4 linked regions of the Notamacropus eugenii genome follow. The protein of the gene in region 4 purifies or fractionates together with the protein of the main gene of each other region. This does not show direct contact. Links are inferred from orthologs where the notes say so. Each region holds a gene or a part of one and is shown on either strand. Other genes may lie near its edges. The genes, in order: BCL11A, HIC1, CHD3 and MTA1.

Region 1 (8,101 bases), about 320 Mb from region 4:
CATAGATGGGACAGGTGTGTCCAAGCTCATTACTCTTAGATTTAAAGGTACATTCATTCACATTTACAGACTAAAGTTTGCTTGAGCAAAGTACTGATGATTTCTGGGGAAAATAATGTAACTTGTATAGGTTAGGGTGTCACTGAGGTTGTGATGTACTGTACAAAAGTTATGAGAGTGTGTGTTCAATTATCTAGTGGAGCAAGAAAGCAGATGGATTGGCATTTTTTCTATTGACATTGCTTCCTATATAAAATTTCGGTAGCTTAGTTAGGTTCAGTATTTAAGAATAAATGCTAATCTCTAAATGATAATGATCCTTTATATGTGAATAACACTTTACTGTTTTTAGAGGGCTTTCCAGTGTGTCCTTTAATTAGAACAAAGCAAGGTAGGTATTTCCATTAGTATTTCATTTTACTGAGAAAGTAAGGTGACTTGGCCACAGTCACACAGAAGTAACAAATGCATAAAAAACCAAACCAAACCAAATCAACACACAAACAAAAAAAAGCAAAACTCATGTTCCTAGAGTCCTGACAAGAGAATTGGGAACCCAATGCAAATAAAAACAAAAATGTATTAGAAACTGATTATGTTGCTGGTGTACTGAGGTGTACTGAAGTTATATGGACAAGATTGTGTTTTCTTATACATCTCCTATACCTTCTCCCCGCACCCCCAACATGAATTAGGGGACAGTTTGAGGACACGATTCAAGCTCAGTCAGTCTTTCCCTCTGCTATTTAACATTTCCACTCATTTTTGTGATCTGCACAGTCCTTTAAAGACCTAGGAAAAGCTAGGGAGAGAGGATCTGATGTTAAGTTGTAACAAGAAAGTCTTCTCGAGGTCTGGTTTGCTCAGTTTAAGTTCATATGCAGCCTACCTTCTGTAAACCCCTCTCAGTGTCCTAAATAATGACAATTAGAACTGCAGGCTCCTAGGCACAATCTGGGGGAGAAGGTAACAAAGTACATAGTTGAACAAGGGTAGATCTTGAGAAAAGTAGCAAGGGAGAGCTGCCGCACTCTGTGGTTTTCCTTTGTCACATTTCAATTCCTTTCAAGAAGACGGTGTTCTTTCTACCTTGTCCCAGCCCCTATCCATTTAGCCCCCCCACTTAAATTTCATTTGCCCTTATATTAATAACTCCACCCCTTCTCTTCTCTATCCTCCCAAAACCCTATACACAAACTCTTCCAGTAACCCCCAAAAGTGTTCCCAAGGTAGAATAAAGAGGCATCTTTTAAAAGATCATTGCAAGTCCTGTTATCTCTCAGATATTGGAGGTGAAGAATGGGGGAGGGGAGAGAGGCAGGGACTGATTGTTTCAAAGTATGTATTTATTTTTTAGTCAATAAAAGTCCCCCCACCCCACCCCACTAAAGTCAGGCAATGAATATTTTATTTTAGCCTTGTAATTTCCATCGAGACAGATCTTTTAACTCTTTCGCCTCCAGCTGAGCTCAAGTCCCCAGCGCCAGGCAATCCTCCCCACTAGGACCAGGGAACTGTATTAAGCTCACTTTCAGGAGCTGTTTGTTGACCACATTCACGTTCTGAGCCCTGAAGCTAAAAGCACTTTACACCATAAAATAAAAGCACTGTCTTTTTTTCTAAAAGGTTACGTCTGGAGGCCACGATGCTCATACTTCATACAGAAAACTACTGAAAGGACTATGAAATCCTCTATGATTTACGCTCTCCCACTGCATTAGGGTATAGATCTACTCAGCTCTAAAAATACGATGGAGTTTCTAACCGACGTGAATATATGTGCATTATTTCAGAAAGTCTGTTAGAAAACTTGTCAACACATTATAAAGCATAAACCAGAACTTGGCTATTAAATACGGAGATCAGAGGCAGAATATATACTGCAGGAAGTCCTGGGAAAAGTCTCCCCCATTGGGGGGGGGGGGGGGAGGGAAGGAGCTATTAGCAAAGAGTTTATACACAGTATACACCAAAGGTTTAGAAAGAGCCCACGGACCATAATTACAACATAAATGGAATCAGCAAAGGCTTTACAACCCTAAACGTAGTTAACTGGACTGCCAGAAAATAATTTTAATATTGTCATAATTTATTACTCTCCAAAAGCCACTTCAAGAACGGTAAATATACTCATTGTATATCCAAGTGTGCTCGTTAAGCTTCTCTTTCAACCCCCCCTCCACAAAACACCTGCATCATTCATCTAGGCTTACATTAAAAAAAAACAAACTCTTAAAAGACCTTTTTAAAAAAGCCCCCCCCCCAAATTCCCCCCCCCAGCCCCACCCTTGGAAGGTTAAGTGAACTTCAGGTGAAGTGGGGGAGGAGGCAGCGGGGATGGTAAAGAAGAAGGCAGTACTCGTGGAGTATGGATCAGATGCCAATACAGTCATGTTAATAATCCAGACGGCATGAAATATGGCTTTAAGGGGAGGGAGGGGAGAGTTTCCATTTAATTCCGGGCATTTTATGATGGTAAAATTAAATATATGTTAATGGTGGAAACGTTACTGGTTCCCTCTCCACTGACACACACGAAAAGCAGCTGCAAAAAATTGGCTTTTTAATGTATGTTTTAAGATGTGGTTTAGGAAGTAACCCCCTGGAATCTCAAACAAGTGCAGTAATAAAGCAGACCTACTTGTAACTAAGTGCTTAATTTCCTATGATTTTTTTTAAAGAAAATCAATAAAATGTTGCCAGTTATTTATTGGAAATAACCACAGATAGATGCCCTGATATGTGCTGGCTTTAGAGAGCGCACAATTGTGTAATGAATTGTAATTCAGAAGACTGTTAAATGTGAACCACAGAACCTTTCAGAGGTAATAAAGTCATTACTTTTTACACTACATCCAGCCCTGAAAAGCTTTATATACGCCATTATAGATAAATCATATATATATATATTTTCACGACACACAGACATCTACTTATCTGCCTCCTGTATATATGGACTTTTATGGATAGATGGTACAATAATCAAATATGAAAATCCTGGGTTCTAAAAGAATGAGACAGTTTGCTTTTGTTACCTAAAATGCCTTTTATTGTGTTTAGTGCATTTTTTGAAAAGGAACACTCCGTTGCACTCCACTCCCCCAACCTTCTTTTCCCCCAATGCATTCCCCCTTTTCCGCCACCCCTCACTCAAGCAATGACATTCATTTGGTAGCTCAAAGGCTGTTTTTATAAAGAACAAGACAAAAATAGATAGTAGTGTAAGATAGATGCTGACCTGCTCTGAAGAGCCCATGAAAAAGAGGAAAATCATGTCAGGTACGTGCTACAGAGCTTTACTGCAAATGATTCCTTCCTGATTCTTAACAGGATTTGAGGGTTTTTTCTCTCTCAGAGAACAGGAAAATACACACGCACACACACATACACACACGTGCACGCACAACAAACCGCACACAGACAATCCCCCCACTCCTTCCTTTCCACAACTCTCCTATTCCTGAACATCAAAAACCTTTTCTTCTCTCAGAGGCTGCACGAAGCCTCCTTGGAATGAGAAGCCAGTCATTTTGAATCGGTTTAAAACTTTAGGAAGATGACAACCCGTTTAAACAGCAGCATGCAAGCCTACAAGACTGAAAGGTACAGATGCGCGCGCGTGCGTGCACAGTGTGTGTGTCTGTGTCTGTGTCTGTGTGTGCGTGTGTGTGCGCGCGCGCGCGGGCGAGCAGCTCAGCCAGGGGGTGGTTGAAGCTGGAGAAGCACCAGATTTAGGTAAGGTTTCCAAAAAAAGTCCACCAAGCATTTCACTTTACAGGGCCCATCTGCCCCCGCCCCCCCGGATTGGGAATATAATGGCTAGAAGAAAATAGGGGCTGTGCTGTGAGCCTTGAGGGAAGGAGAGGAAACAGCTCCTCATTCATTCAGGGGGCACACCTCCCTCCCCTTCCAGCTTTCCCTTCAGTCGGCTCCCCCCTTCTCCTAAACTCCTCACTCAAGTCTGGTCCTAGGTCTCACCGTGGCTTCACTCCATTCCTTCCTCTTCTGTTCCCCCTCCCACTTCCCATTTTTTGGGGGGTGGGGGGAGGAACAGAAGAAAGTCTGGCGGCTGGGTGCCACAGCTAGGGAGAGCAGAGGTGAGACGACTTTGCAGGCACGTTTCAGAATAAACTTTCCAATCGTAGGGGGTGCTGTTGCTGTACATTTTACGTAAAACTGAAAGTATCCCACGCCAGAGAGAAGCACGCTTTTTGACAGCGGTGGCGGCGGCAGCAGCAGCCTATGAGTGTGTGTGTGTGTGTGTGTGTGTGTGTGTTTGTGTGTGCGTATGTGTGTGCGAGCTCGCGGTCACGAGCATTAAAGAGACAGGGGTTCATTTCCAACAAGTCTCTCCTAATTTCTAAGTTTCATCAAGGGAAAAAAAAATTAAAAAGGAGAAAGGAAAGCTATCTGAGCCGTGTGCTTTCGGGGTGCGGTGGGGGGAGGGAGGAATGCATGCTTGTGGGAAGGGGGCTAAGTTCCAGCAAGGTTGGCAACCACTTTTCTTTTCTTCCCTGCTGCTTTTGTGAGCAAACTGTGAGATTCCTATTACCCGTTTTCTTCCCCTTTCTCTTTTCCTCTCCCTGGGTAATGTCATTAATACAGCTTTGCGTGTTAAAATATTTCTTAGAGTCACGGTGTAGCTTCTCTTTTCTCCAGCTACATTCATTCATTCATTGATTCATTCATTCTCCGAGTGTTTCTCCCTCCTTCCTTCCTCTCCCCCACTCCCAGTTTTTGAGTGAGGAAGACGTCCTTTTCTTCTCTCCCAGTCCATCCCAACAACAGATCGGTTTCCCCTCTGCTTCTAGTTTGTCTCGATGGGTTATCCTTCATTTAAAAAAAAATAAAGGCAATCTTTTTGGGGGAGTAGTTGGCACCCACACGCACACACATACAAAGCCCCCCCCCCTTCCCCCGCTTCTTTCCTCCTTCCCCCCACCCCCCACCCCCCCAGCTGGTACCTTACAACCTTGCAACTCGCGGGCTGCTCTCTTGGCCATGGGTGCTCAGTATTAAAGGGTAAGTTTCGGCGCGGCCGAAGCTAGTGCCGTTACCGCTGCATCTCCCGCCTCCAAGCTGCTTATCGCTCCTTCCTGAACGATTTTGCTCTCCTGGACTCTTCCCCACTCTTGTCAGTAACGGCGCTGAGTCTCAGAGTTGTGTTCCTGTCTTTATTTATTTATTTACCCTTCTCTCTCTCTTCCTTTCCGGGCCGCAGCACCTCGCTTTCCTCAGATCCGTGCTTTGCAGTTTCATTGACATTGTCCCTTCTCTTGGCACTCAGGCTTCCTTAGCCACCTATTCTGCCTGCCTTTGGGGTGCAGGGGGATGGGGGTAAGTAGGGAGATGCCGAGTTGGAGCTTGGGCTCCCCCTTTCCCCCCATCTCCCTCTCTGGTCGCTCCCCCAAACCTCTAGGATCTCCTAGTCCTTCCTCTCTCCTTTACACGCAGAATTTCTCCTTTCCTCTCTCCCCAACCTGGGAGCCCGAGGCTCCTGAGAGCCTCTGCCTTTCTGGCTGCTACGGTACACAAACTTCTTTTGCAATTAATTCTTTACCACTCTCCGCAACACCCCCTCCCCAACCTCGGGGCTTTTCTCCTTGGGTAGTAACTTCAGAGTTCAGTTATAAACTTCTGGTTTTTCTTTTCGTGCTGTTTTTTTTTGGGGGGGGGAGAAAAAAGTTTCAGAAGTGCAGATTGATATCGGCTTTCACTTCTGCTCCAGGATGCATGCACGCGGGGCTGTGTGTGAGGCTAGCTGGGGAGGGGGGACGTGGGTGTGTGTAAGGAGGGGGGGTGTCCTACAGCAACTCTACCTGGTCGGCGGCCCCCCCGCCCCCGCCTTCTTTTGCTCCTCTGTCGTTTGTCTTCATCCCTTTCTACGTACACCTTTGGCGTATTATTTAAGCACTTCTGTCTCCTGTTTTAACCTTTCTTTTTAGAGGGTGGAGGAGAGAGGGGAGGACTTTCCCCTCCCCCCCAAACACACACCTCTCCCTTCCCCCTCCCCCTTTCTTTTCTTTCCTCCTGGCCATGCCGTCTCCTCCTGTACTCGGCTGCGGCCACTTGTGAGCTCCATGCCCCCGCGCCTCCCCTGCCCCCCTCTCAGCACTACCTCCTCCCTTCCCACCCCCCCATTAGGCAGCTTGTGTCTGGCGTCTGGAGAGCCCCCCCCTCCACCTCCCCCTCCCAGCACTGTCCATTGGCTTGTCCTGGTCTCTTTTTCATGTCCAGCCCCTGATGTGTGTCCATTGGTGTTAGCCTCCCCTTCCCTCCTCCCCTTCTCTCCTGCTCGCCCTGCCCATGTTTTGTATGTCTCTGTCCATCCAGGCTCCTGACGTTCAAGTTCGCAGGGACGTCACGTCCGCACTTGAACTTGCAGCTCAGGGGGGCTTTTGCCATTTTTTTCATCTCTCTCTCTCTCTCCCTCTCTCTCTCCCTCTCTCTCTCCCTCTATCTCTCCTCTCTCTCTCTCTCTTTTTTTTTTGCCCAAAAAAAAAGCCATGACGGCTCTCCCACAATTCATCTTCCCTGCGCCATCTTTGTATTATTTCTAATTTATTTTGGATGTCAAAAGGCACTGATGAAGATATTTTCTCTGGAGTCTCCTTCTTTCTAACCCGGCTCTCCCGATGTGAACCGAGCTGTAGTTCACCAGCCGCCGCCGCCGCCGCCTCCTACTCCACAACCCACCATGTCTCGCCGCAAGCAAGGCAAGCCCCAGCACTTAAGCAAACGGGAATTCTCGCGTAAGTAACCCAATAATAATAAATAATAATAATGATGATGATGATGATAATGAGGATGATGATGATAGGGTCGGGAGTGCCAAAGAGAAGATGGGAAAGAAAGGGTGCGTGTGCATGCGTTTCATTTTATTTTTGAGAAGGGGAGAAAAGACAACATTTAAGTGAGGTGTAAAGAAATTAAAAGGGGGAAACCCACAGCACCTCAAACCGCAACCGTGCTTGCACTTTTGGAGAAGCGTGCACCTCTCTTTTCGTTATTTTCCTTCCCTCCTCTCTCTTTTCGCCTTCTTTTTCTTTATTCCTCTTTGCGAAAAGAAACACTAGGATTTCTCCTCCCTCCCCCCTTTTGCAAAATAATTAATGATAATAATGAGAGTAACTCCCAGACAACCCCGGGGAACAGGAGAAGGGGAGAGGGATTTCTTTCTCCAACCGCCGGAAAGAAAAAAAAAGTCAAAGGCTTAAAAAAAATCCTGGGAAGAAAGAGGTGAGACTGGACATCGGACGCCGGCTCCCATGGTCAAGTGTGGACCAGAGAGAAAGTAATCACAATAATGCTAATGAATGGAAAAGTGGGACTTTTAGGGAGGGGGGACGTCCCCCCTCCCCTCCTCCCCAGAAGCCTTGTTGAGAAAAAGAAAGAGGTGGAGGAGAGAGGGGGTGAGAGGGAGACGAAGGGTTTGCGTTTGCAACGTGCGGGTAAAAGTGGCCGGTCGTTGCCTCCTTTTGTTTCCGCTCCGAGGTGGGTGTCTGTCCCGCTGTCTTTTGTGCCTCGCTCCCTCCCTCCTTCTATTCCTCCCTCCTCCTCCTCCTCCTCCTCCTCGTCCTCCTCGTCGTCGCCGTCCTCCTCCTCCTCAGCCGCCGCCGCTGCCGCTAAAGGGCAGCAGGGGCAAGGGGGTGGGGGTGGGCTGGGGGAAGGGAGGGTGGGGGAGATGTGGCTGCTGCCTGGACTCGGTTGGCTTGGGTTGCTGCCGCTGCCGCTGCCTCTGCCGCCTCTGCAGCCGCAGCTCGTGCTGGCTTAGCTCTTTGCTGGCTTTCTTTCTCCAGGGCCAAGGAACGTGCCCCTTCCCCTTCCCCGCCCCCTCCGCTCCTCGCCCCGCAAAAGACACAAAACGAGCTTGGCAAAATGCAAGACGATTTTTATTTTTCCTGTCCCCAAACAGAGAAGCTAAAAACCTCAGTAGATCTACTCTGAACCGAGATTTTCCAGCGTTGCCGTCCGCTCTCCCTCTCCCCCCTCCAAAAAAGAGGAGAAAATTCGCACGCACTGAGCACAAGGGGAAAAAAAATCAAACTAAAAACCGGATCAGACCACAACCCCCCAAACCCCTTCTCTTACAAACTTAGTC
Region 2 (8,086 bases), on a different chromosome or scaffold from region 4:
TCCCTTTCCCACCCCCACCCCCCACCCCCCACTCCATTCCCGGGCCTCCCCCCCTGCCCGGGCCAAGGCACAAAGCGGTTCCGCCCGGTGTGGCCTCGGGGCCGGCCGGGGAGGGGCGGGGGTTAGCGTGGGGTGGGGGCCGCCTCGGTTGCTCGTTGCCGTTGCCGCTGTCCCTCCCGGGGCGGGAACTTCCCTCCATCGCCCCCGTTTCCCACCCCACCCGGCGAGGGGGGATGCGGTGCAGTCCCCGCTCGGGGCTGGGGTGAAGGGATTTCTAAGTAGGGGAGAAGCGGTCAATGGTCCGGCCGTCGGGTCCCCCCGCTAGGTGCGCGCTCTGGCTCAGCACCTCGGCCGCCTTGTCCGGGCTCAGCCCCAGCTGCTCGGCCGTGAACTTGGCCAGCGGGTAGAGGCTCTCGAGCGCCGCTTTGGGGTCGTGCAGGAAGTGCGTGGTCTGGGCCAGCAGCTCGGCCGCCGCCGCCGCCTTGTCTTGTTGTTTGAGGCCCAGCTGCTCCGCCGTGAGCCGGGCCACAGCGAACACGCCCTCGGGGAAGTCGAGCTTGGCTTTCCCGTCGGGGCCCGCCAGCGGCCCGGCCGGCCCGCCGCCCGCGCCCACGGCGTGCATCTTCATGTGGCTGATGAGGTTGCGTTGCTGCGCGAACTTGCCCCCGCACACCTGGCACTCGTAAGGCTTCTCCCCCGAGTGGATGCGCATGTGCTCCGTGAGCCGGTACTGGCGCGTGAAGCGCATGCCGCACGCGTCGCAGGCGAAGGGCTTGAGGCCCAGGTGGCTGCGCATGTGGCGGGTCATGGTCCCGCGCTGCGTGAACTTCTTGCCGCAGATGGTGCAGGGGTAGGGCCGCGTCAGCCAGTGCGTCTTCTCGTGCTGCCGAAGGGTGGCCGGGTCCTTGTAGCTCTTGTCGCACGAAGCGCAGCGGTAGGGCCTCAGCAGCTCGCCCAGGCCCCCCGGGCCCCCGGCCCCCTTGTCCCCGCCGCCGCCGCCGAAGGGGGGACCCAGGCCCGCCGCGCCCACGGCAGCCGCTTCGGCCGCCTCCGCCCTCCCGTAGAGCGCCTCCTCCTCCACGTGCGCCTCGACGTGCGCATTGAGCTGCTCGGAGCTGGGGAAGCCCTTGTCGCACGGGATGCACACGTAGCGGTTGTCGCCGAAACTCTCGGGCTCCCCGTAGGTCAGATGAGGGCAGTGGTAGCTGGCGAGGTGGCCCCCGCCCGGGCTCGGCTCCTCGCTGCTGCCTGTTTCCTCGCTGCTGCTCTTGTAGTCGTCCGCGTCGGGCCCGGCTCCGTCCAGGCCCACCCCCGGGTAACGGGGCGGCGGCAGGGGCAACGGAGGGCCCCCAGGCGAGTCCCCCTCGTCTGCGGGTTCTTCAGCCCCGCCGGGGGAGCCGCGGTCTCGCACGAGCTCATCGCCGTAGCTGCCCAGGCCGGGCTCGGCCTTCATCCAGCGGTAGATCAGCGCAGGCCCATCGGGTCGGCCCGGGGGCTCAGGCCCGGGACTGCCACCCGGCCGGAAGGGGTCGAGAGGCGGCCCGGCCTCCTCCATCTTCTGGAAGGGCAGGGGCAGCGGCAGCGGCAAAGGCAGGGGCAACGAGAGCGGCGGCTCCTTGTAGACTGCCCCAGGTGGGCTGCTGTCGTGGCGCGAAGGTGCCTCGCGCTCACGCTCTCGCTCCCCGGGGTGCGGCCGCTCGGGGGCAGCCGCTGGACCCGGGGGGCTCTTCTTGGACAGGTCTAGGCCGCAGAGAGGGGAGCAGCGGCGCTCTGGGGCGCAGAGCGACGGCGGCGGCGGCGGTGGCGGCGGCGGCTGAGGGGGCGCAGGGCCCGAGGCGTAGAGCTCAGCACAGTGGGTATTGACAGGCGCCTCGGCTCCTGGAGGCAGCTCCGCGGCCGAGGCCTGCGGCGCCGGAGGTCCAGAAGGCGCGCCACCCGGGTAGCAGGCCTGGATGACTGGCGTAGTGGCACGCAGGCCCCGGCCAGGCCTCACGTAGGGCGCGTAGCCGCCGCTGCCGCCGCCCCCGCGCAGGTGACAGTACTTGCCGTGTCGTTTGAGCCGCTTTTTGCACAGGGATACGAGGTCTGGGATCTGCAGGTAGCTGGCGGCGGCCAGTACTGCTCCCAGACTGGGCTCGGCCCCAGGCGCCGCCGCCGCCGCCGCTCCATCCGCGCCGTCGGCCAGGCGGCCGGTATAGATGAAGTCCAAGACTAAGCGAAAGACAGCGGGGCTGACCATGTCATGGTCCAGGTTGAGCAAGTTGTCGTGGACCACCAGGGACTTGAGGTAGGCGCTGCTGGCCGCCAGCACGTTCTTGTGAGCCCTGAAGAGCGCGTTCTGCACCACGATGATCACGTCGCAAAGGAACCCTTTGGTGCGTTGGCTGTTGAGCTGCAGCAGCAGCTGTCTGGAGTGTCCCGGCGCCTCCATTGCGTCCAGCATCATCTGCCCTGTGCTCCCACCTGTGGGGACACACGCGACACGACAGGACACGACACAACATACGCACACACACACACACACACACACACAAGCACAGACAAGGTCAGAGCGGATGCTTAAGGGGTCTCTCTCCACCCCACTCCGCTCGCGTAGCTTGAGTGAGCGCCCCCCCTTCTACACCGCCTGCCTCAGACGGGGGACACGGGAGTTGCCCTGCTTGGCCCCCATCTGATGACCTGGGTCACCTGAGCCCGAGAGACAGCATGACCTAGACCCCAGCAGGAGGGAGGGGACCAGAGAAGCAGGGAATGAGCTCGTCCCCACTCCCTGGGGCAGTCTTCTTGGTAGAAGAGTCCAGTGGAGAAAGGGACTGAGTGCCTAAGGCCAAGGCCCCACTACAGAAGTCGGGGGCCGGGCAGGGATGGCAAACGGGGAGTTTCCAAAAATAAATCCACTTAAGAGGGGATAATTTCCGCTTCGGAAGGAGTTACCCGATTTCAGGGAAATATCCGCTTCAGAAAAAGTCATTCAGTCCAGAGGGGAGTGTCTCATTGGGGGCAAAATTAGCCGATCGAGATGAAATTCGTAATTTCGCAAAAGTCCGGGTTTGGGAAAAGTTAGCGGGTTAGTGGGGAAATGCTGTGGGTGGTGGCATCGGCATAGGCATCGGCATCGGCATCGGCTTCGGCGGCAGCCAGTGGGTCGGGGGCCAGGCTCGGGCCGAGGCTGTTAGAGGCTCCTCCACGCCGGGCCGGGCCGGGCCGGACCGGGACCCGGGCCGAGAGGGAAGCAGCTACCGCTGCCAGGGCCGGGGCCGAAGGGGAGCGGCTGCCGCTGCCACCGGCAGAGCGCGAAGGGCCCGGGCCGCCTGCGGGGAGGGCGTTATATCGGGGCAGGAGGCTGCAGCAGGAAGCAGGTGGGGGGGAGGGGGGAGCCACGCAGCTCCCGGGGGAGGGAGGGGGCAGCGCCCCGGGCACGGCGCGGACCCAGCGGCCCTGACCCCGCGCGGATCGCCTCGGCGCCCCGCCCGCCGGCCGGCCCGCTCCGTCCCGGGAGGCCCCCGAGCTCGCTCCGGAGCCCCTGGGCTGCTCCGCCCGGCCAGCCTGCCCAGGGACAAGAACTTGGGAAAAGTTTCTCAACTTGGGATGGGCCGGGAGCCGGAGTCAGGCTAGCGGGCCCCTCCCGGCGCGCCTCGGCCCTTCGCATCCCTCGCCCAGCCCCGGGTTCCAGCCCGTCCCGTCCCGTCCCCGACTCCACTGGCGGCGCCGCCTTCCCCGAGCCGCCTCGGCCCGTTACCTGCGGCCCCCGCTCCCGCCGGCCGGCCGGCCGGACTCCGCGCTCGCTCCTCGATCGCTCGCTCCGGGCCGCCCCGCCCTCCCTCCGGCCGCCCCTCTGCCAGGCGCCGGGCCGTGCCAGGCCAGCGGCCCGCTGCCAGCTCCGCCCGCCCCCCCCCCCCGCCCATGTGCGGGCAGAGCCCGGGCCCCGAGCCGCTGACCCCCTGGTGAACTCGGCGCGGCGGGCGGCCCGGGAGAGGATGCGCCGCGCTCCCCCCGGAACCCCGAGGCAGCGCCGCGGAACGAGGCAGCCCTGGCCCCGGGCTCCCAGCCCCGGCCCCGGGCTCCCAGCCCCGTCTCCAGCCCCGACCCCGAGCCTGCAGTCCCATCTCGGCGCCTGGCCCCGGGACCCACCTGGGGGGCATGTCGGAAGCCCCGAGCCCGGCTGCCGGCTGATCCAGGTGGAGAGGTGGCCGCGCTCCGCTCCGTCCGCCGGTCCCCCGGCCGGTACGTCCTCCCGCCCGTCCGTCCTCCCCGCGTCCCGGCCGCGTCTCAGCCCCGCCGCCTGCTCCGCACACTCTTATCTGGAGTGGCCCGGGCCAGTCTGGGCTCCTGGGGGATGGCGCCACCTGGCGGCCTCGAGCGAGCACTGCAACCTCGGAGCCGGGAGGCCCCGCGCACCTGGGCCCTGGGGCGCGCAGGTGCGCCCCCTCGTTTCCCCACGCCTCTCGCAGCTGTGTCTCTGGAGGGCTCCACCCCCACCGACCCCGCCTCGCGGGACAGATGCCGCCCCAGGCCCCGCGTAGCGTGAGGAGTCAGGGATGGGGGAAAGTTGGGATGCGCCCCATCCCTACCCTCGCACACGCGCCCTTACACACACACACGCGCACACACACACTGACACACCCTAGCCTCAGTTCCCAAGGGGGTGTCTCAGGCAGGATTGGGGAGGTGAGTCTAAAAGAGACCCCCAATCAAAGCGTGTCCAGGACTGTGGACATTGCCAAAGAGATTGAGGATCTGGCTTCAAACTGAACGATCCGCAACTAATTTTGTGACCTCGGTCAAGTCACTTCCTCTTCTCTTGGCCCTAGTTTACTCCTCTGTAAAATGTGGAAATTGGCCTAAACGAGGTTTGAGGGTTTTGCTGGCTCTGGAAACTTTTTGTATTTCATTCAATTCTACTCTGCAGTCGAATACACAAAGACCATCACACTGTGTGGAATGTGCAATAGCCCCCACCTCGGGGATCCGCGTACGCACGTCTGAGCACCCGGCACCCAGGCTTTCCTACAGACTGGACGCTCCCTCACGCCCGCACAATGCTTCTCACGCGCACTCGCTGCCGCCGTCGCCTCATACTCATCCTCCTCTTCCTCCTCCCTACTCATCTCACAACTTCAACGGGTGCTAGAGATACTACGTCTCAGAGACCAGGCAACAGACTGAGCCTCTACTGATGTCCCTTAGGTGGAGTGGCTTGTTGGGGGAGAGGTGGGGAATGGACAATGTTTACACTAAGGGTCCAGGCGCAGGGTATGTGGTGTGTGTGTATGTGTGTGTGTGTGTGTGTGTGTGTTGTGTGTGTGGACAGACACGCTTCAAACCTGCGCTTTACAAGGGAGATACTCTCCTCCCCAAGGTGCGCTTGACTCCTTTGGGACAGTCTCCTCCCCTTTCCTCCTGCAACAGCCCTGGATTCCCCAGCTGGAAGACGACTGTGCCAAGAACGATCATGCCTCCTGTGGAGGCGAGGCGAGGGTACTTTGGAGCAGCAAGCAGCCCAGGGTATACAAGGGTCTTTTACACGTAGACAGAGAGCCCAGCCCTAAAATCTCCGTGTGCCCCTTCTAGACAGCCCAGTCACCCCTAGCCTAACCCTCCTGCTCATCACAACAGAAGAAGCTGCATTATACTACCCATTACTGCGGAGAGGGGGGAACTGTGCCCCCTCTCACTTCGCCTATATGTTGGGGTAGCGGGGTCCCCATGTTGGGCATTCGGCGTCCAAAGCCTCTGATCGGCTCCACCGTCCCCCATCTTCTCCTCCCTTACAGTGGAGAGGGTTGTGGGGGGCGGAGATGATGGCGGCGGTGCGAAACGTTGCCATAGTAACCGATGAGGTTTGTACAGATCTCTTTCCTCCAAGGCCTTAGGGAACCTGGCAACCGGGCCGGGGGCTGCGGTGGACAGGAGGCGGGGCGCCCTTCGTGTTCTCCCGCCTCCAGTTCTGTCCTCAGCTGGTGGCCCCACTGGGAGGTCGGAGCTGAGTCACCCTGCGGTGGGCATAGGCGGGTATCATGAAGTTAGTCCTCGGGCGTGGAGACAAGTTCCCCTGGAACCTCTGGTGCTCGGGCACCGGACAGAGCCTCAGGGCTCTTCTCTGGATCCCTTCCAACCAGGTGACTGGTTCTCACTCTGCCCTGAGCTTTTCCCCAAGCCCAGAGCCTGGAGGGTCTCAGTGCTGTGGAGGGACTACCTAACAGCAAGAGCTGTCTTCAAGGAACCCTGGTCCACCCGGAGGCCCGGAACTTTTTTATCCCCCGTTAATTTTCTAAGTTCCAAGTGCTACCGCCTTTAGTGCCCCTAGAGCAGACACCAAGGTCTTCGGCGCCCTCCAGAGGTGCTTCCAGTTCTCTGCGGATTCACCTCCGGGCTGGTTTTTGACAACTCCCCATCCCGCCCCCTTGTTGCTCAGACCAATCTCCCCGTTTGAGACGCCCGTCTGGATTAGGAAGAGTACCACTATCCCCATTCAAGGTCTGGGCTTTGGGGTCCCAAATTTTTGTCTCCACTGTCCCATCTCCATGCCTTGTCTTTCCTACATCTCTACCCCGTCTCTCCACCCCTCTCTTCCCAGGCTCTTCTTATCACTCCTTCCCAGTCTCCACTTCTCTCCTGGATCTCCATGCCTCTCTTCTCTATCTCCCTAGTCCCTGTCTCCATCTCTTCTTTAAATCCAGCATCCCTTTCATGGCTATCTCCATCATCTTTACCCTTTCTCCATCCTATCTCCATCCACCTTTTTTCCTATCTTTTGATCTTACTCTATCCAAATCCAAGTCCTCATCCTCTACGCCCTTCTTCAACTACCATCTACTCTTTTACTTCTCTCCATCCCCTTCTTTCCTGTCTCCATCCTTTTTCTGGTTCACTATCTGCATTTCCCTCTGCCTTATTTCCATTTTCCTGCCTTCCAGTGTTTCCATCCTCATTCATTGTCCCTATCCCTCATCCTACATCCATTTCCTCTGATCCTCTCTGTTTTTCCCTATTCCCCTCTCTACTTACCTCTCTTCATTCCACAAGCCCTTAATCTCTGCCTCTCCCCTTACTCCCCAAATCCCCCCCCCAAGATTCTAGTCTTATGGATCCAGGACTTCTTAGGGCCTTCTTAATATTCCAAGCAGCATTTAATACTGCTCTCTCTCCTCTCCCCAATTCCCGGGCTCTATCCTTCCCAATATCTCCTAATTCTCTAACATCTACCATTTCTCTTTAAGACCTCCTTTGCCTTCCACCCCACTTCCATGCTTTGATCAATTCCCTACTTGATTCTCTCCCTTTTCCCTCTCCAGGAGGGCATCATCTCTGCTCTTTCAAGTTTCTCTTTCATTTGAGGGGATGGGGTGCAAAGCAGAGAAAGATTATGCTCCTTGCAGAGGAATCCCTTTTCAGCCAGGCCTGCTTGCTCCATCAACCTTCTTGCCCAAGTCGGAACCATCACCCTTCCCCCACACCTGTTTTCTTCATGTGGTCATTATCCCTTTCCATTCCTATCTGCCCCTCCTAATTCTGACTCTCCCTCTGAGATGACCACATTAACCAATCTGGCCAAGAAACCAGACCCATAGCTCTGCCCTCAATAAAAAAGGTCATTTTCAACCCATCTCTCTTCGTCCTCCTCCCCTTCCTATTTCTCTTACAGAATCTTTTTTCTTCTAGTCTGAACTAATCTCATCCATTGCAATGGCTCCATTTCACCCATGAAACTTCCCTAACTAGATGAGAAATAGGCACAGGCTTAAAGAACATTCTCCTCCTTGCCTTACCTTTACCATGCCTCCCCCACCATTGGATGAGCACAGATGTCTGCATTTGCATGAATCTCTTACACTCCTAGGCAATGAATGGCAAAGAACAAGGTGCTGGTCCTACACCTCACCCACAATCCTTTGCATCATCTACCTTTCACCCTTCACCCCACCCACCCCAGGCCTCACTTTAAAGTCTTCTTTCTCCTGACTCTACCTAGCTAGTGGCTCAGCCAAAGAGGGACAGGGCTTCCTCCCCCAGCTCCCACATCCCCATGAGGATGCTCTCCTTCCAGGCCATATGCATGTTTATGATCGTCCTTTTTTTAATGACT
Region 3 (7,331 bases), on a different chromosome or scaffold from region 4:
CAGACAGAACAGAGGGACAGATAATAGAAATACTATCTCTAGGCACCTACATGGAAAGAGAGGAGAAAACTGTGGAAAGATTGATCTGGAAAACAGAGAAGTACAGACTATAAGAAACCAAATAGAATGGCTGTCAGCGGCAAGCAAACACCGAGAAAGTAAGACAGACAGATGGACTGACATAAAAGACAGGCAAAGTGACAATCAGCCACACAGAAAGACTATAAGGGAAAAGCATAATGGAAATGAGAGTTGCAGGAAAACTAAACAAGACAGGCAGTAAGATGGGCAGGCAGAGACAAACAACAGAGGTAGCAGGTAAGCAGAGAGATTTAAAGACTGAGAGACAGAGGCAGGCAGTCAGAAGCAGAGGCAAACCAAAAGGCAAATGAGTAAATAGACTAAACAGAAGAAAGCAGAGAGAAAGAGAGGCAGGTGAGCAGACAGGTGGGCAGAGAAAGTGACAGACAGAGTCAAGGACATCAGAAATGATACACCAAAGGAAAGGCAGACAGACAGATGGAGAAGGCAGATGCAAAGAGGCAGCAGGAAGAGGGCAAGCAGATGGGGGTGGGTAGAGGGATAGGCAGAGGACTGAAACAGAAATAGGGGACATGGAGTGGATGAGGGAGACAGGCAGGGGCTGAGGATACTGACAGGAAAGGTAGGAAGAAAGGAAAGACAGACACTCAGACAGGCTAAAGAGAAGCAGATAAATGGAAAAAGCAGATAAAACGGGGAGGAAGAAGCAGGCAGATGCTAAGAGAACACACAGACCAAAAGGCAAGCCTGAAAGGTACAGAGGACCTTTCAGAAAAGTAAAGCAAAGGAGAGGAAAATAGACAAGCAGAGAGAGATGTTTGCTGACTAAAAAAAAAATCTAATGGGGAAGGCTGGTAAAAAAAAGAAGACTGAGAATTACAAGAAATAGGTAGTCAGACAGATTAAGAGATGCAGGCAAGCAGACAGTAGCTAAATGAGGGCAGGGAACAGACAGTGGGATGCTAGCAGGCAGGTGGGGTGACAGAATGAGAGAGAGAGGCTGACAGACAATAGACACAGACAGACACAGATTGACAATAAGAGTTTATCAAGCAGAAAGACACAGAAGCAAGTAGATAGGCAAGGCAGAAAAGAGACCAAGAGATGCAGGCCAGGAGGCAGACAAGACAGCCAGAGAGAGGAAGGCAGACATGATAATAGCAGCAAACAGGAAAGAAAGTAGGCACGCAAATAGAATAGAAAGGCAAAAATCAAAAAGACCAGGAAGCAGGCCTGTTGGTGGAAGGGAAGAAACAAGTAAAAGAACAGAGAAGGAAGCCTAACTCACAGACATATACTCACAGAAGTGCTCCCACAGAAACACCCTGAGACACATACTCTTAAGCACCCATATCCAGAGATCCTGACATTTAACCCCAGACGCACAGGCACAAGTAAACATACATGAACATACTTAAAACCAGATGCACACATGCAAAGGCAAAGGAGACAGAATATAGTATACACACATGCTCTTATGCACACTATGACCCATAAGCACATAAAGACTGATATACACAGCCAGAACAAAATGATAAACAGATAGTGAGTCCAAGAATCACTGAAAGATGACAGTTGAAGAGTTACTGAGACAAGAGACAGCATGAGAGACAGCCCATGAATGAAACAGAAACAAAGGGACAAGCCCACACAGAGAGACAAAAAATGAGGGAAACTCCTTACACAGAGAAAAAAGTAAGAAACATATATTTTACACAGATATACAAAACTAAACAGAAACAGAGAGCTTGAGACGTAGAAATAAAACCAAGAGGCCAGGATGGAGAGTTGGGCTGAGGCTAGCAGAGAAGGAGACAAAAGATATTGAAACCCAGATTAAGAAAAAAAGGGAAACTGAGGCCCATAAAGTGAAGGACAGAGCCCTAAAATGACAAATTCTTGGCCCTCAAGAAAAATTATGCAAAAGTTCATCCTAGTACCTGTGGGAACATTTTTTTATGTGCATCTAAAGAGAAGTTGCAGTTGTCTGAGCTGGAAGGTTATGTCTATAGTATGAAGTAAGAGACTCATGATTCTAGGCATGTTTCAGGAAAAGATGCAGAAAACAGAACCGATAAGGAAGGGGCAAAATGAGGTCTGTGGGAAAGAAGAGAATCACGACTGGAAAGGGGTGACAAGCTCAGAGCTGAAGTAATCACTAGTCCCATCCCTTTCTCTACACCCCCATAATGGCAGTACCTCTGTCAGCAAACCTTTTAGGGGAAGTACTTCTCTTCTTTATTGATATCCCAGGTACAGAGATACTTGGTGCTTCCTCCTACCTGAGTGCAGGGCTCCCTTCCTACCCCAACTGACAAGCTCTCTTGAAATTTAACTTAGCTTCCTTGTTTGATTCACTTAGGTAGCCCCTAAAAGAGAGGTTTCTCCTGACCCCTTTCCAATTTCCCCCATCAGTATCTCATTCCTATTTTAAGAGGCCGTTTAGGTTGAAGAACTGGATGAGACAATCAGATACAAAGGTCTGATTGCATCCTCTTCTCTTTCATTTTTTCTTCACCTTAGCTAATTTCCTCTCACCTACTGTACTTCAATTTCTTCCACTTTGATGGAACTGAAAATGGGGGTGAATGAAAGAAAAAGGAGTCTGTATTGGAGAGGAGCAAATAAATTTTTTTTCTTTTTCAGATCTTGGTGCTCCCCATCCACAGCAAAATCCATTCTCTGTACCAAGATTTCATAGTAAGTTTATCTGGGAGAAAAGGAAAATGAAATGAAAATATAATTTAAAACAATTGTAAATTACTGAAATGATTTCAATAAAGAATAATCAAACATAAAACTCAGATTGAATGAAAAAACTCAGATTGCTTTCCATTCTCCACCCCCAAAGGGTTTCTATCATTAAAAAAGAAAAAAAAATCTTATAAAATACGTAAAGTTAAATGCATTTCAACTTTAACAAGGTATATGTATACGTATATATATGTATTTGGCCAGATTTATATATAAATATATGTATTTCATCTTTTTCCTTGACAATGCCTGAAGGGAGAAAAAAAAAACCCTTCACATCAAACCACTCCCTTTCTGAAGTACTTAAGGAAAAAAAGCTTTTCTTTTGAGGAGGGAGGTGGAGAGAGAAGAGACTAGTATAGAAAAGAAAATTTTAAAATCTAGTTGGACTAGTATCTAACTAGTTAACCTTTAACAATTTATGCTGATGTCAGACTGAGCATGAGTACTGATTAATGCCCCCCCAAATATTTTTATAGGTGTGTGTTGGGGGGGGAGGTTAGTCAGCAGCCATTTTTGTTTTATGCAGAAATCCTTCATGTTTCTTCCCCCCCTTCAATACACAAGGAAAATATCTATTAATCTGTTTACTAATCAGCTATGAAAAAAGGGAGACTTTTGTGGGTTTCTGGGTAGAGAAGGTTTTAGAGATGAGAAGGGGGGAACTGGAAGCATTTCTGTTGGTGGGGGTGTTAGGGGATGGGGGCTGAAAAATGAAATATTAAGCCAGCCATTTTGTTTTAAAAGCAGATTTTTTTTTTCCTCTCTCTTTCTTCTTGGAGGGGGTGGCGGTGCTGGAGGGGGGGTTGTTTTAAAAATAATTTCAGGGCGGCCATCTTAGTGCTTCAGCTCTAGGAAATATTTCTCAGCGCCCCCCTCAGAATTTCAATATATTTAAAACAACGAAGAGGGGAGTAAGGGGGGGAAGAGCAGAAAAACTTTTATTCATATAATATATATATTTACCCCCCTTTCTCTCTCTTTTGGTCTCCCAGGGAAGGGGAGGAGAAAGTCCCCCCCCTTTAATTTTTCTCAATAGTAAATTGTTTTTGGGAGGCGGTTTCGCCCCCTCCTTAGACAGAAGGGTGGGGGTAGGGGGTGGCCCGGGGGTTTGGGGGGCTGGGGGAGGAGGTGAGTTGGAGGAGGAGGACGACGACGACGAGGAGGAGGAGGAGGAGGAGGAGGAGGAGGAGGAGGAGGTGGTGGTGGTGGTGGTGGTGGTGGTGGTAGTGGTGGGGGAGGCAGGCGGGCGGTGGGTGGGGGGGTGGTGGGGGGGCCAGAGCTACAGGATGGCTTCCCCTCTGAGGGACGAGGAGGAGGAGGAGGAGGAGATGGTAGTGTCTGAGGAGGAAGAAGAGGAGGAGGAAGAAGAGGGCGAAGAGGAGGTGGAGGCGGCGGATGAGGACGACGAAGAGGAGGACGACGAGGGAGTAGTCGGACGCGGGCCGCCGGGGCACGAGCGGGGCCGCGGCCGCCACAGTCCCCCCAGCTGCCACCTCTTCCCGCCGCCGCCCCCGCCCCCGCCGCCCCCGCCGCCCCCGCCCCCACCGCCAGGTAAAGACGCGAGCGGAGGACACCCGCCGAACTCCCCCCCCTACTCCTGATCGCCGCCAGCCCAAAGTTCCGAAACCGTTGGGCGCGAGAGGGGGCTGGGGGGGTGTCGGGCAGGCGCGCGCGGAGGAGCAGGGGGTGGGGGTGGAGAGGAGGGCAGGGGAGGGAGCGCGAAAGGCACCCACCGCGCGGACGGAGAGGAGTCGAGTCCGGGGGCGCGCGGACGACGGAGCAGCCGGCCCGCCTGCTTGGCTGCCCCCCCACTCCCTCCCTCCCCGCCCGCCCGGGCCTGAGGCCGGGAAGCTTTCCGGGCCGGTGGGCCGACCTGCTGGCCGAGCGGGCCTCGCCTCCCCTCCCCCCGGCCAGCCCCCTCCCCCCGCTCTGGGGGGAGCCTCCGGCCGCGGCCGCGGCGGAACGCCGGGCGCCAGCTGAGCGGGCGCGCGGACGGAGGAGCCAACTCTTGGTCGCAGCCGGAGGGGGAGGGGAGGGCTGGTGGTGTGTGTAGGTTTGTTTCCCCCTCTTTTCTTCCTCCCTTCCTTTCTCTTCTTCGGGGGATTAGGAGCGATCGAACCCGAGACGACCCCCCCCACTCCCGCCGCGCATTCGGGCCCCGCTTGAGCTCCAGACGTCCCCCCCCTCGGCTGGCGGGGGAGGGGGAGGCGGCGGCGGAGAGTGGCGACGGTGGCTGTGGTTCGGAGAGTTCAAGCCCGTTTGGGGTTTGGCTAAATGTAAAATTAGATGGTGTCCGTATGCGTTTGTGGGGGTCGGCGTGGGGCTTGGAACGGGGGAGGGGTCCCCCCGACCACCCGAGCGCTTGTGTCCGTGAGGGCGCAGGGTGGCGGGGGGACTTTGGACACTCGCCACTGACTGGCCCGTACAGCCCCTCTCCCAAGATCTTGGAAGTGGGGGTGGGCTGGGTGCCTTGAGGGGAAACCAGATACACCCACCGACAACTCCACCTCTTTTGATTCCTTCCCTTTCCCTCCTCCTTGTGATGGTAGGCCCCTCTCTAGCTAAAGGGTGTGTATTCACCCCGGGACTCCCCCCTTCTACTCTGTGAGCCATTGACCCTCTTTTGTCCTTGAGTGACCCCACTGCTGTGGTCCTGGGGCCCCAGGGGTTGTGACTTCCCTGCTTGCCCCCATCACAGTCACCTCTGTGAGAGGATGACTGAGGGATGTGGAACACCTCACCTCCTGTGGTGTTTGTTACTAGAAGTCCCTCACTCCCCTCCCCAGTTTTCTCACACGGGCAGCTTTAGTAACTGTAGCCACTGCTTCGAGGTAACAGTTGCCTCATCAGAGACTCAGTAGCCACCCCATCTCAGACAGCCTTGTGTGGCTAGTTCCAGAACGTAATGTCAGCTTTACATGTAGAAAATGACAGATGGGACACTTTGATCCCTGTGCCTGGGAGCAGACTTCAGTAGCCTTATAGATTTAAAGTTGGAATGGAACTTAGAGGTTATGGAGTCCAGTCCCTTCATTTTAAATACGAGGAAACTGAGTCAAAGAGAGGCTAAATGACTTGACCAAAGTCACACGAGTTGCAAAGAGGTCTAGCTGGGATTCTGACTCGAAATCAAGTCCTCTTAACTACACCATGCTGCCTTACTTGTGTTTGTTTTCCAGCCCCTATTGATGAAATATGCCCAATGTTCTTAATACTGAAATACAGATTAGCGCCATGTATGGCAGATGTGCCTGTATATACTTCAGCTGAACAACAAAAGACGTGTGGGGGTGGGGGGGAGACGAATAGGAAGGAAGAGGGTCCAAAAGGGAGAGAGGAAAGGAGTGTCTTAGTGAACATGAAATAATTCATTATTTTCCCCCAAGGTCTTCGAAATAGGAAATAAGTAGAAAAAATTACCTTGTGGGGAACACGTTTTTTTAAAGTGCAAATGGGAGAATTTGGGAGACAGGTGTCAAATTCAATTAAACATTTATTCAGCACCTACAGTATATTTGCAAAGTGAGAAAGGAAAGAAAGGAGGAAAGATGGGATTAGGGGATGGATTCTTTCCTTGTCTGCTGAGTTCTCAGGTTAGATAATCCTCTTTGGTCATTTTCAAAACTAGGCTAATAAAAGAGGGGAGAGCTGGGAAAGAAAGCAAGAAAGAAACCGTCAGAGGTTGAGGTGTGTCTTTGTTTGGCTCCCTTTGCTCCCTTCTTCTGAAGCCTATTTACCTAATAAATAAGCAGATGTTTGAAGATAATAAATTGTTTCATTTTGGATTTGGAATTAAAAATAAACATTATTCCCTTCTATTTAAGGCAGTTTTGCCTCTGCCTAACCCTTCAGATTTGCGTGAGTGAAACATCCTTGTTGGGTAATTTATTGATGTAAAAAAAACTTTTGGGGAAATATATTTTAGCTCCCCTTCCTTTTTTGTCACCCCAGGTATGAGGAAGGCAAACACCAATCCTAAGAAGTTTGACCCATGTACTTAACTCTCTCCTTCTGGCCCAAACTCCCAAGTGGAATATGAATTTGTAGATTCTGTAGCTCTGTATTGTTTTTCAACCCTGACTGATTTTCCCTCATCCCCATTTTGTTTCACATTCTTAACTGAGTCCAACTTTACCTCTTTCTCCTCCCACCAACCTCTGTACATTGTTCAGTATTTCAAATCCAAAGACTCCTGTGGGGGGAGGGGAAAGAAGGGAGCCAAAACTCAATTTCTTTCCCCTCCCCCTTCTGGCAAGTATAAAGAAATAATATAATATTTAGATGTGATTGCTTAGGGAGGGGAGGGGGGTAGAATATGGGTGGTGTGGAAAATTCTAGTAGTTTCTTCGCAAAAGGCCTGAAAATAAAAACCCACCCTCTCCTTGCAATACGCATGTGCAGGGGCCCTATTATGGTGGTTCGTTGTGGGGGGAGGGAAGGGAATTTGAGAAAAAATAAATATATGTGTGTGAGAGATTGATGGTGAGATAGAAAGGAAAGGGGAGGGCAGGCCTTTTCTGAGGCTCCTCCTC
Region 4 (7,849 bases):
TATACCAATTGATGTATACATGTTTAGTATTGATATTACTTCATTATCTATGGTACCTTTTAGCAAGATGTAGTTTTCCTTCCTTATCTCTTTTAATTAGGTCTATCTTTACTTTTGCTTTGTCTGAGATCAGAATCACCACACTTGCCTTTTTTTTCTTTACTTTGGCTGAAGCACGCTAGATTCTGCTTCAGCCCCTTACCTTTACCTTGTGTGTATCTCTTTGCTTGAAGTGTCTTTTTTTTTAAACAAGATATTGTAGGATTCTGTTTTTTTATTCCCTCTGCTGTTAGCTTCCATTTTGTGGGAGTTCATCCCATTCCTATTCATGGTTGTGATTACTGTGAATTTCCCTCCATCTTATTTTTCCTCCTGTTTGTACTCTTTCATCTCACCCTTTCCCTTCTCACCAGTGTTTTGTTTCTGTTTATGCCTCTCCCAATCTGCCCCCACTTCTGTTGGTCCCCAACTCTCCCCCTTTTACTTGATTTCCTCCCAACTTCCCTTTCCCTGTTGGGTAAAATAGATTTCTATATTCAACTGATTATGTATATTATTCCCTCTTTGAGTCACTTCTGATGGGAGTAAGGTTTAAGTAATCCCTATCACCCATTCTCCCATCTTCCCTTCCACTGTAATAAGTCTTTCATGCCTCTTCAAGTGAATCAATTTACCATTCTACCTCTCCCTTCCTTCTGCACCCAGTATATTCTTCTTTCCCATCCCTTAGTTTTTTTTGTCATTCCCTCAAATTCACCTCATACCCATGCCCTCTATATATATTCCTTCTAGTTTTACTATTAGTGGTAGAGTTTTTTTTTTTTAACTTGTTGATTATATTATTTAAAATGCTTCAATCTGTATTCAGAACTGTATTCAATTCTTTCTCTGGGGATGGATAGAATTTTCCTCATAAGTCCTTCAGAGTTGTCTTGGATTATTGTAATGCTGAGAATAGCTAAGTCATTCACAGCGGATCATCTTACAATGTTGCTGTTACTTTGTACTTTGCATATTTCACTTAACATCAGTCCATGCAACTCTTTCCTGGTTTTTCTGAGAGCATCCTGCTCATCATTTATTACAGCACAATAGTATTCCATCATAATCATATACCACAATTTGTTCAGCCATTCCCCAATTGATGGGTAGTGACAGAATTCTTATGAATTACAAGTATCAGCTTCCAAGGTAGGGATATATAAACAGTTTAGTTCTATTGAATCCCTTATGTTTTCTTTTCCCTTTTCTAGGTTTCTCTTGGGTCTTGATATTGTAGATCACATTTTTTTGGTTCAATTTTGGTCTTCTCCTTATAAAAGTTTGAAATTCTATTTCATTGAATGACCATTTTTTCCCTTGAAATATTATTATGTTTAATTTTGCCTGTTAGGTGATTCTTGGTTGTAGTCCTGCTCCTTTGCCTGTCTTTCAGTTTTTCTTGTCTTATTGCTATAGCTAGTATTTTCAGTACAATGTCAAATAATAACAATAATGGAATTGTTGCTTCACCTCTAATCTTATTGGAAAGGCTTCTAGCTTATCTCATGAGAGGGTACATTATAAACTATTGTTATACAACTTCAACCAGGTCCTCACATTAGCAAGGAAATCCTTTTATTCCTCCCTAAATGATTCCTTCACTTTCTACACATGCTTTGTCAAGTTCTCTTATTCTCCTTAAGCTTCCCATATGTTTCCCTCCTCCTTCTTTCTTAGCTGAAGACTTTACCTCTTACTTTTCTAAGAAAATCGAGGCCTTTCAGCATTAAAACCTTCTCTTTTTCTAAAAAAACCCAAAACCTTGGTATCATCTCTTTTCCTTTTTCTCTAATCTTCAACAATAAAGTGGTCTTTCTCCTTGTTAAGGCCAATTCTTTCTATAAGACGCATCCCCTTTCATTTTCTCTAGAAGATTTTTCAGTTTCAACAGTCCTCTTTCTCTCTTTTAATCTTAAGAAACTCCCCTATCTGTTCATTTCCTATTGTTTTCAAACGTACCCAAGTCTCTTCCATCTTTAGAAACCTTCACTAGACCCTTCTATCTCCTCAAACTAATACTCTTTATCTCTCCTTCCTTTCTCACACTCTTACACTCTTTTCCTCCACTTTCTCATTTCTCAAATTGATTAATTTTTCAACTCTTTATTATTTGGCTTTTGATATAATCATTACACTGAAATTCTCTTTCCAAAGTTACCAGTGAATGCAATAATGTTCTTTTTTCAATCCATATCCCTTTTGACCTATCTACTGCATTGGATACATATTTTATAGAAAAAATTGAAGCCATTCATCATGAACTATTTCTCTCCTTTCTTTCATCTTCTATACATGCCTTCTGTCACTATATCTTCCTTCATCTGTCTTAAAAAAAGGTGTCCCTCTAATCCCATTCCATCCTGTCTTCTCCAAAAGACTGCCAGTTCTCTCATCCCTACTCTTTCATTTATCTTCAGTGTTTCCTTGTCAGTTGGTTCCTTCCCTACTGATTACAAATGTGCTCATGTCTCCATCATCTTCAAAAAGACCTCACTTGATCCTTCTATCCCTACTAGATATCATCCTGTATTTTCCTACCCTTTGTGTCTAAACTCATTGAGAAAATCATCTGCAATGGGTGCCTTCACTTTTCTCCTCTTACCTTTCTCTTAATCCCCTACAATCTGGCTTCCAATCTCATATTCACCAGAGATCTCCTCATTGCTAAATCTACTGATCTTTTCTAAATATATATTCTTTACCTCTCTGAAACCTTTGACACTATCAATCACCCTCTTTTCCTTGATTTATCTTCTCTCTAGTTTTTTGGGACACAATTTTCTCCTGGTTCTTCTCCTCCTACCTTTCTGACTGCTCCTTCTCAGCCTTCTTTGCTGAAACTCTTATCTAAATCATACCCTCTAATTGTAGGTTTCCCATAGCGAAACATCCTGGATCCTCTTTTCTCTCTTTATACTACTTCGCTTGGTGGTCTCATCAGCTCATGTGGATTTAGTTATCATCTCTATGTTGATGATTCTCTCATCAGATAGGTATCCAACTCTGACCTCTAGAATATTTGAATATTCAAATGCCTTTCAAACATCTCAAACTGAATGTCAAGCAGACATCTTAAATGCATCATATCCAAAACAGAACTCATAGCTTTCCCTCTAAACTCTTCCCTTATCCCAATACCTCTTCTCTATTATTGTTCCCTAATACTGCCCTATGACTACCATCCTCCCAGTGACTTAGGCTTGCAGCAATCTAGAAGCTATCCTCCACTCCTTACTGTCTCTCACAATCTATAACCAATCTGTTGCCAAGACCTGTCCATTGTACCTTTTATCCTCTTATCTTCTCTGAGATTGCCACCACCCAGGTACAGGCCCTCATGACCCCACATTTGGACTTTTCCAATAAACTGCTGATGGGTCTGCCTGGCAAAAGGCATTCCCATTTAGGCCCTTTCTACATTCAGAGGAAAAAGTGATTTTTCTAAAGTAAAGGTCCAACCATATCACCCTTCCCCACCACCCCCCATTCAAAAAACTCCAGTGCTTCCCTATCACCTCCAGGATCAAATATGAAATTATTTGGTGTTCAAAGTCCTTCACAACCTACCCCCTTTTTTCCCACCTTCCCAGTCTTCTTATACTTTAGACTTATACTTTACACTTACTCTTCAATTTGTGATATTGGCTTTTTTGCTTTTCCATGAACAAGACACTCCAAACAAGATACTCTATTTCTCAGCTCTAGGCATTTTCTTTAGCTGTTCTCCATGCCTGGAAATTCTCTACCTCCTCATCTCTGCCTCTGACTTTCCTAGCTTCCTTCAAGTCTCATTAAAATTCCATCTTCTACGGGAAGCCTTTCCCAATTCCTCTTAACTCTAGTGCCTTCCATTTGTTACTTATTTCCTACCTGTATATATCTTGTTTGTATACATTTGCTTGTTGTCTCTCACATTAACTTGTGAGCTCTCGGAGGGCTGTGTCTATCTTTTGGTCTTTCTTTGTATTTGCAGTGCTTACTGCAGTGCTTGACATTGGAGCTTCATAAATTCTTATCCACTAACGAGAGGTCTTTGAGAGGATCATCACCTACCAGGGGCATTTCAGAGGGGATTTCTGTTTCTGTCCCAGAGAGAATCGTACATCTAAAAAGGTCCTTTTCACCTCTAAGATCATGAGTCATAAGCTATGAATTACAAAGATATTTTCCTTCTTAAACAAATGTTCCTCCTGAATCATTCTTAGAGGAAAGGGAGAGTGGGTGGTCACTAACCTAAGCTTAAGGTGAAACCTAAACCTCCTTACTCTTTGGAATGAATTAGGCTGGCTAAAGGGATTCTATTTTTTCCTTTCTTTCTCTGACATATTAGTTGCTAATATGACAATGAATCCTGCTTTGTGCATTGGGAATGTGTTCCTCTCTTAAAGCCTTGATTAGATTCTCTCTTGGTACAGTATTATATCTGGTCTTATTCATGCTTCATTAAGCTGAGCTCTGCGAGGTCAGGGCCCTTTTTGTTTTTTTTCCATCTTTGTCTACCTCAGCCCCAGCACAGGGCCTTGCACCCAGCACACAGAATTTTGTCCAATGAATGAATGAATTTTGAGAGGCCATGCACACTTGGCCTGGTTCGGTCTATCCTTTCCTTTCTGCCTGGAAAGTAGAGCTCTCCTGCCTGCAGGAGAGACCCCAGCCACAGACTTGGCACAGGCGGGGGCACACAGGAGGCCCCAGCCTTTGGCCAGGTAGGTGGAGTTGTGGTTGCTTTCTTTGTGCCTGCCTGTTTAGGGGGGAAAAGGAAGGAGAGAAAAGAGAAGGCAGAGAGCGAGAGAGCGAGAGACCCAGAGAGACACACAGAGAGAGGTGGAGGAGAGAAGAGAAGAGAGGAAGGTAGGGGAAGGGAGGGGAGAGAGGCGGTAGAGAGAAGAGAGGCCAGGGAGGCCGGGAAGAGGGTAGGGGAGACGAGGAGGGAGGGGCAGGAAGAAGACTGAGGAGGGAGGAAGGGGACAGTTTGTGGGGAGTGGACAAGCAGAAGGGTGAGGAGCTGCCGGGAGCCGACCAGCCCACTCCCATGGGTCTCTAGGGCCTCCCCCTCCCCATTGGCCTCGGGCGGCGGCGGTGGCGGCGGCAGCGCCGGGTGGACCAAGCGCGGCCCCTTTAAAGCGTCCGCCCCCGCCCCCACCCCAGCCGATCGATCCTCCATTTTCCAGCACATTTCCCCCACCTGGAGGAGCCGCCGCGCCACCCTGCGAACCCCGAGCGTCGGGCCCGGGCCAGGCCAGGCCAGGCCAGGCCTCTGAGCCCCCCGTGTGCCGCGCTGCGCCCCCAAAGCCGGAGCCCGAGCCGGAGCCCGACATGGCCGCCAACATGTACAGGGTCGGAGGTGAGCCCCCCTCCTCGTTGCCCCTGCCGCCCCGCGGCCTCCCGCCCAGCTTCGGGCAGAGCCCGAATCGGCTCCCGACCCAGCGCGTCCTCTAGCCAGGCCAGCCCCGACCTGCCCTGGGCCTCCCCCGCGTTCCACTCGTCCCAGCCCCAGGTTTTGCTGCTCCCCGCTCCTCCCCTCCCCCCGGCCGCTCGCCCGGCCTGGATTCCATTCGCCTCCTTTCCCGTGTGGCCCCGCCGGGCCTTCACGGCCAGCGCCCAGATCCTCCTCCCCTCCGCCCTGGGCCCCAGCCATCGCTGCCCCATCCCGCCTCCTGTGCCGGGTCTGAACCTCATCCCCCATTCCAGGCCGTCCGGCTCCCATCTTAGCCACCTCTCCCTCCATCCGGAGGGCCTCTGTCCTTCCCGGGCCCCTCCATCTCCCCACCCCCCGGGGGGCGAACATTCGGACTGGCTGTTGAGAATGTTGGGCCTGGGGGAGGGAGAGTCAGTGAGTGACTCCGGGTGGTTAGAGTGAAGCTGTGGATGCCCCCTGGTCATCTGTATCTTGTTTTCGGAATGAGCTCGTCTTTCTTACAGTTTTATGAATATTATTGGGGGGGCGGGGAGCCAGAATGGGGGATATTTGATACCTGCCAAAGTTCGGAGCTAAAGGTGGGGCTAGAATTGTTGGCATATGAAAGGTAAGAAAGTGGCAGGCATGGGCTGGAGGGGGGGTGGGGAGTGGAGGTGGTGGGGGAGTGGTGCTTCTGGGTTTGTGTGTGTGTTTTGTTTTTGTTTTTAGAAATATGTGTATAGGGTGCTTTGTGATGATCTGAGTTTCACTTTGTGATGAAAGGGAGGTGTAGGGCGACCTAGGTAGCAAAAAGAATGGGATCTACTATGGGGACAGCACTACTACAGCTCTTCTTTTGGATTTTGGCCTTTGGGGAACCTTTTGGTAGGAGCAAAATGCATCGAGGGAATGGATTCTTTAGTTTTAGTGATGGGGGCAGTTGGTGTTGGAATTTTTTTGGAGGGAAAGGTGTCCTTTTTTTCAGGAATAGGTTCTATTAGAATCATTTTCTTGCAGTGAAGCTGGGAAGGGTGGTAAGGTCTATCTGGGAAGGTGTATTGAGGAACAGAGGGAGTTCTTACGTTTTTGTCTTGTTTGTGGTAGAGAGGGTGCATGACAGGATTGCCCATTAGGTTAATGGGGAACTTTAGGATTGCTTATTGCCCATTTGAGAATATTTCAACTACTCCTGAAACATTTAGCTGATATTTAGACTACCTTGGAAGCTTGGAGATTTTCCTTAAAAGTGATTTCTAAGTATACTTAGAATTTCTAAGTATACTTAGTATACTGAGCTACTTCCTAAATGAGGGTCCAACGGCACATCTTGTTGAGTTTAGATGGAGTGGATAGTGCTTGGTGGCTTTAGCTTGGGGAGGGGTAGTTTGCTGAGGAGGGATGGGGGTGATGATGTGGTAACCTTGAAAGAGCATACTTTGTGAAAGTTAAGGAATCCTCTGGCTTAGATTTCCAGTCACTGCCAAGAGTAGTGAGTTAGGGTCACCTTTAAAGACGGTGTTTAAATTGTCACCTATGATATATTTTTACTGGTCCCAAATTTTTGATGATGTACTTTTGGAGAATGATTATGCTAATATATATCTTCTCTCTCATTCAGCACTCTGCTATGTACATAGGCCTTTTCCCTACTTGTCTTCTGTAGTCTTCCTTTGGCAATAATTTTTATGAGTTGCTTCCCCTTTGATTTGCCTTTAAAAGCTCAGGTGTTGGGTCAGAATTACTGGAAATACTTTGGAGTGACAATACTATGATGCAAATAGACACTGGTGCCTTGTTTAGTGACATTAGTAGGAGCAGGACATAGCAGATCCTAAGGTCTCTTGAATGTTGGGGTGGGGAAAGTACTCATACTCCTCCAGTGCCAGTTTCCTGACTTACTTCATGCTTCCTGGGGTTTCCAAAGGAAGCCCAAAGGAGCATGGTTTAGAGGTGCTAGCCATAGAGATCCTGGTTGGGCTTCAAAGGTTGCCTGCCCTTTTAACTCTTCCATCTGCCTACATTTTGGGGAAAGGTGGAGGGTGTCTATAGCAAGGTGTACTAGCAAGTTTGTTCTTATTTTGCCCAGCTCTGTTTCTTCACCAAGTTTTGACTTGGGTAGAAATTTGAACTTCAAACTCAGAAAAGCTTTCTAAAACACTTGACATTTACACTTTGTTTCTTTTCTCCTCTTCCTCTACTCTTAATAATCAGCCTTCCAGCCTCCTCATTCAAGTTAAACAGCCGTATCTGTGACTTCTTAATTGTCCAATTTTTGATGTTTTTTCTCAGTCTTAATTCTTCTCAACCCGCCTGTTGACACTGCTTATCACCCTTTCCCCCTGGGTATTCTGTCTTTAAGCTTTTTGTGACACTCCAGTCTCTTGGTTCCCCTCTGCTTGTCTGACTGCT

Evidence for each region.
Region 1: the proteins of MTA1 (region 4) and BCL11A purify together in Homo sapiens (affinity purification with mass spectrometry; 4 studies listed by BioGRID and IntAct, counting the BioPlex papers as one, with this or other methods). This does not show direct contact. The link is inferred for Notamacropus eugenii from reciprocal best matches to the Homo sapiens genes MTA1 and BCL11A.
Region 2: the proteins of MTA1 (region 4) and HIC1 purify together in Homo sapiens (affinity purification with western blotting; 3 studies listed by BioGRID). This does not show direct contact. The link is inferred for Notamacropus eugenii from reciprocal best matches to the Homo sapiens genes MTA1 and HIC1.
Region 3: the proteins of MTA1 (region 4) and CHD3 purify together in Homo sapiens (affinity purification with western blotting; 7 studies listed by BioGRID and IntAct, with this or other methods). This does not show direct contact. The link is inferred for Notamacropus eugenii from reciprocal best matches to the Homo sapiens genes MTA1 and CHD3.

What each region holds. Positions count from the first base shown.
Region 1 is NC_092872.1:644,360,441-644,368,541, forward strand, and holds the start of BCL11A (B-cell lymphoma/leukemia 11A), read left to right. Parts: upstream 1-4,958; 5' UTR 4,959-5,022; intron 5,023-5,049; exon of another isoform or gene 5,050-6,580; 5' UTR 6,581-6,697; coding exon 6,698-6,752; intron 6,753-7,709; exon of another isoform or gene 7,710-8,101. UniProt on the Homo sapiens protein: Transcription factor. Associated with the BAF SWI/SNF chromatin remodeling complex. Binds to the 5'-TGACCA-3' sequence motif in regulatory regions of target genes, including a distal promoter of the HBG1 hemoglobin subunit gamma-1 gene.
Region 2 is NC_092873.1:40,121,949-40,130,034, reverse strand, and holds HIC1 (hypermethylated in cancer 1 protein), read right to left. Parts: upstream 3,096-8,086; 5' UTR 2,972-3,095; coding exon 2,935-2,971; intron 2,464-2,934; coding exon 275-2,463; 3' UTR 144-274; downstream 1-143. UniProt on the Homo sapiens protein: Transcriptional repressor. Recognizes and binds to the consensus sequence '5-[CG]NG[CG]GGGCA[CA]CC-3'. May act as a tumor suppressor. Involved in development of head, face, limbs and ventral body wall.
Region 3 is NC_092873.1:78,011,354-78,018,684, reverse strand, and holds the start of CHD3 (chromodomain-helicase-DNA-binding protein 3), read left to right. Parts: upstream 1-4,044; 5' UTR 4,045-4,085; coding exon 4,086-4,350; intron 4,351-5,349; exon of another isoform or gene 5,350-7,331.
Region 4 is NC_092872.1:324,142,643-324,150,491, reverse strand, and holds the start of MTA1 (metastasis-associated protein MTA1), read left to right. Parts: upstream 1-4,815; 5' UTR 4,816-4,893; intron 4,894-5,004; exon of another isoform or gene 5,005-5,213; 5' UTR 5,214-5,358; coding exon 5,359-5,386; intron 5,387-5,563; exon of another isoform or gene 5,564-6,061; coding exon of another isoform or gene 6,062-6,068; intron 6,069-7,849. UniProt on the Homo sapiens protein: Transcriptional coregulator which can act as both a transcriptional corepressor and coactivator. Acts as a component of the histone deacetylase NuRD complex which participates in the remodeling of chromatin.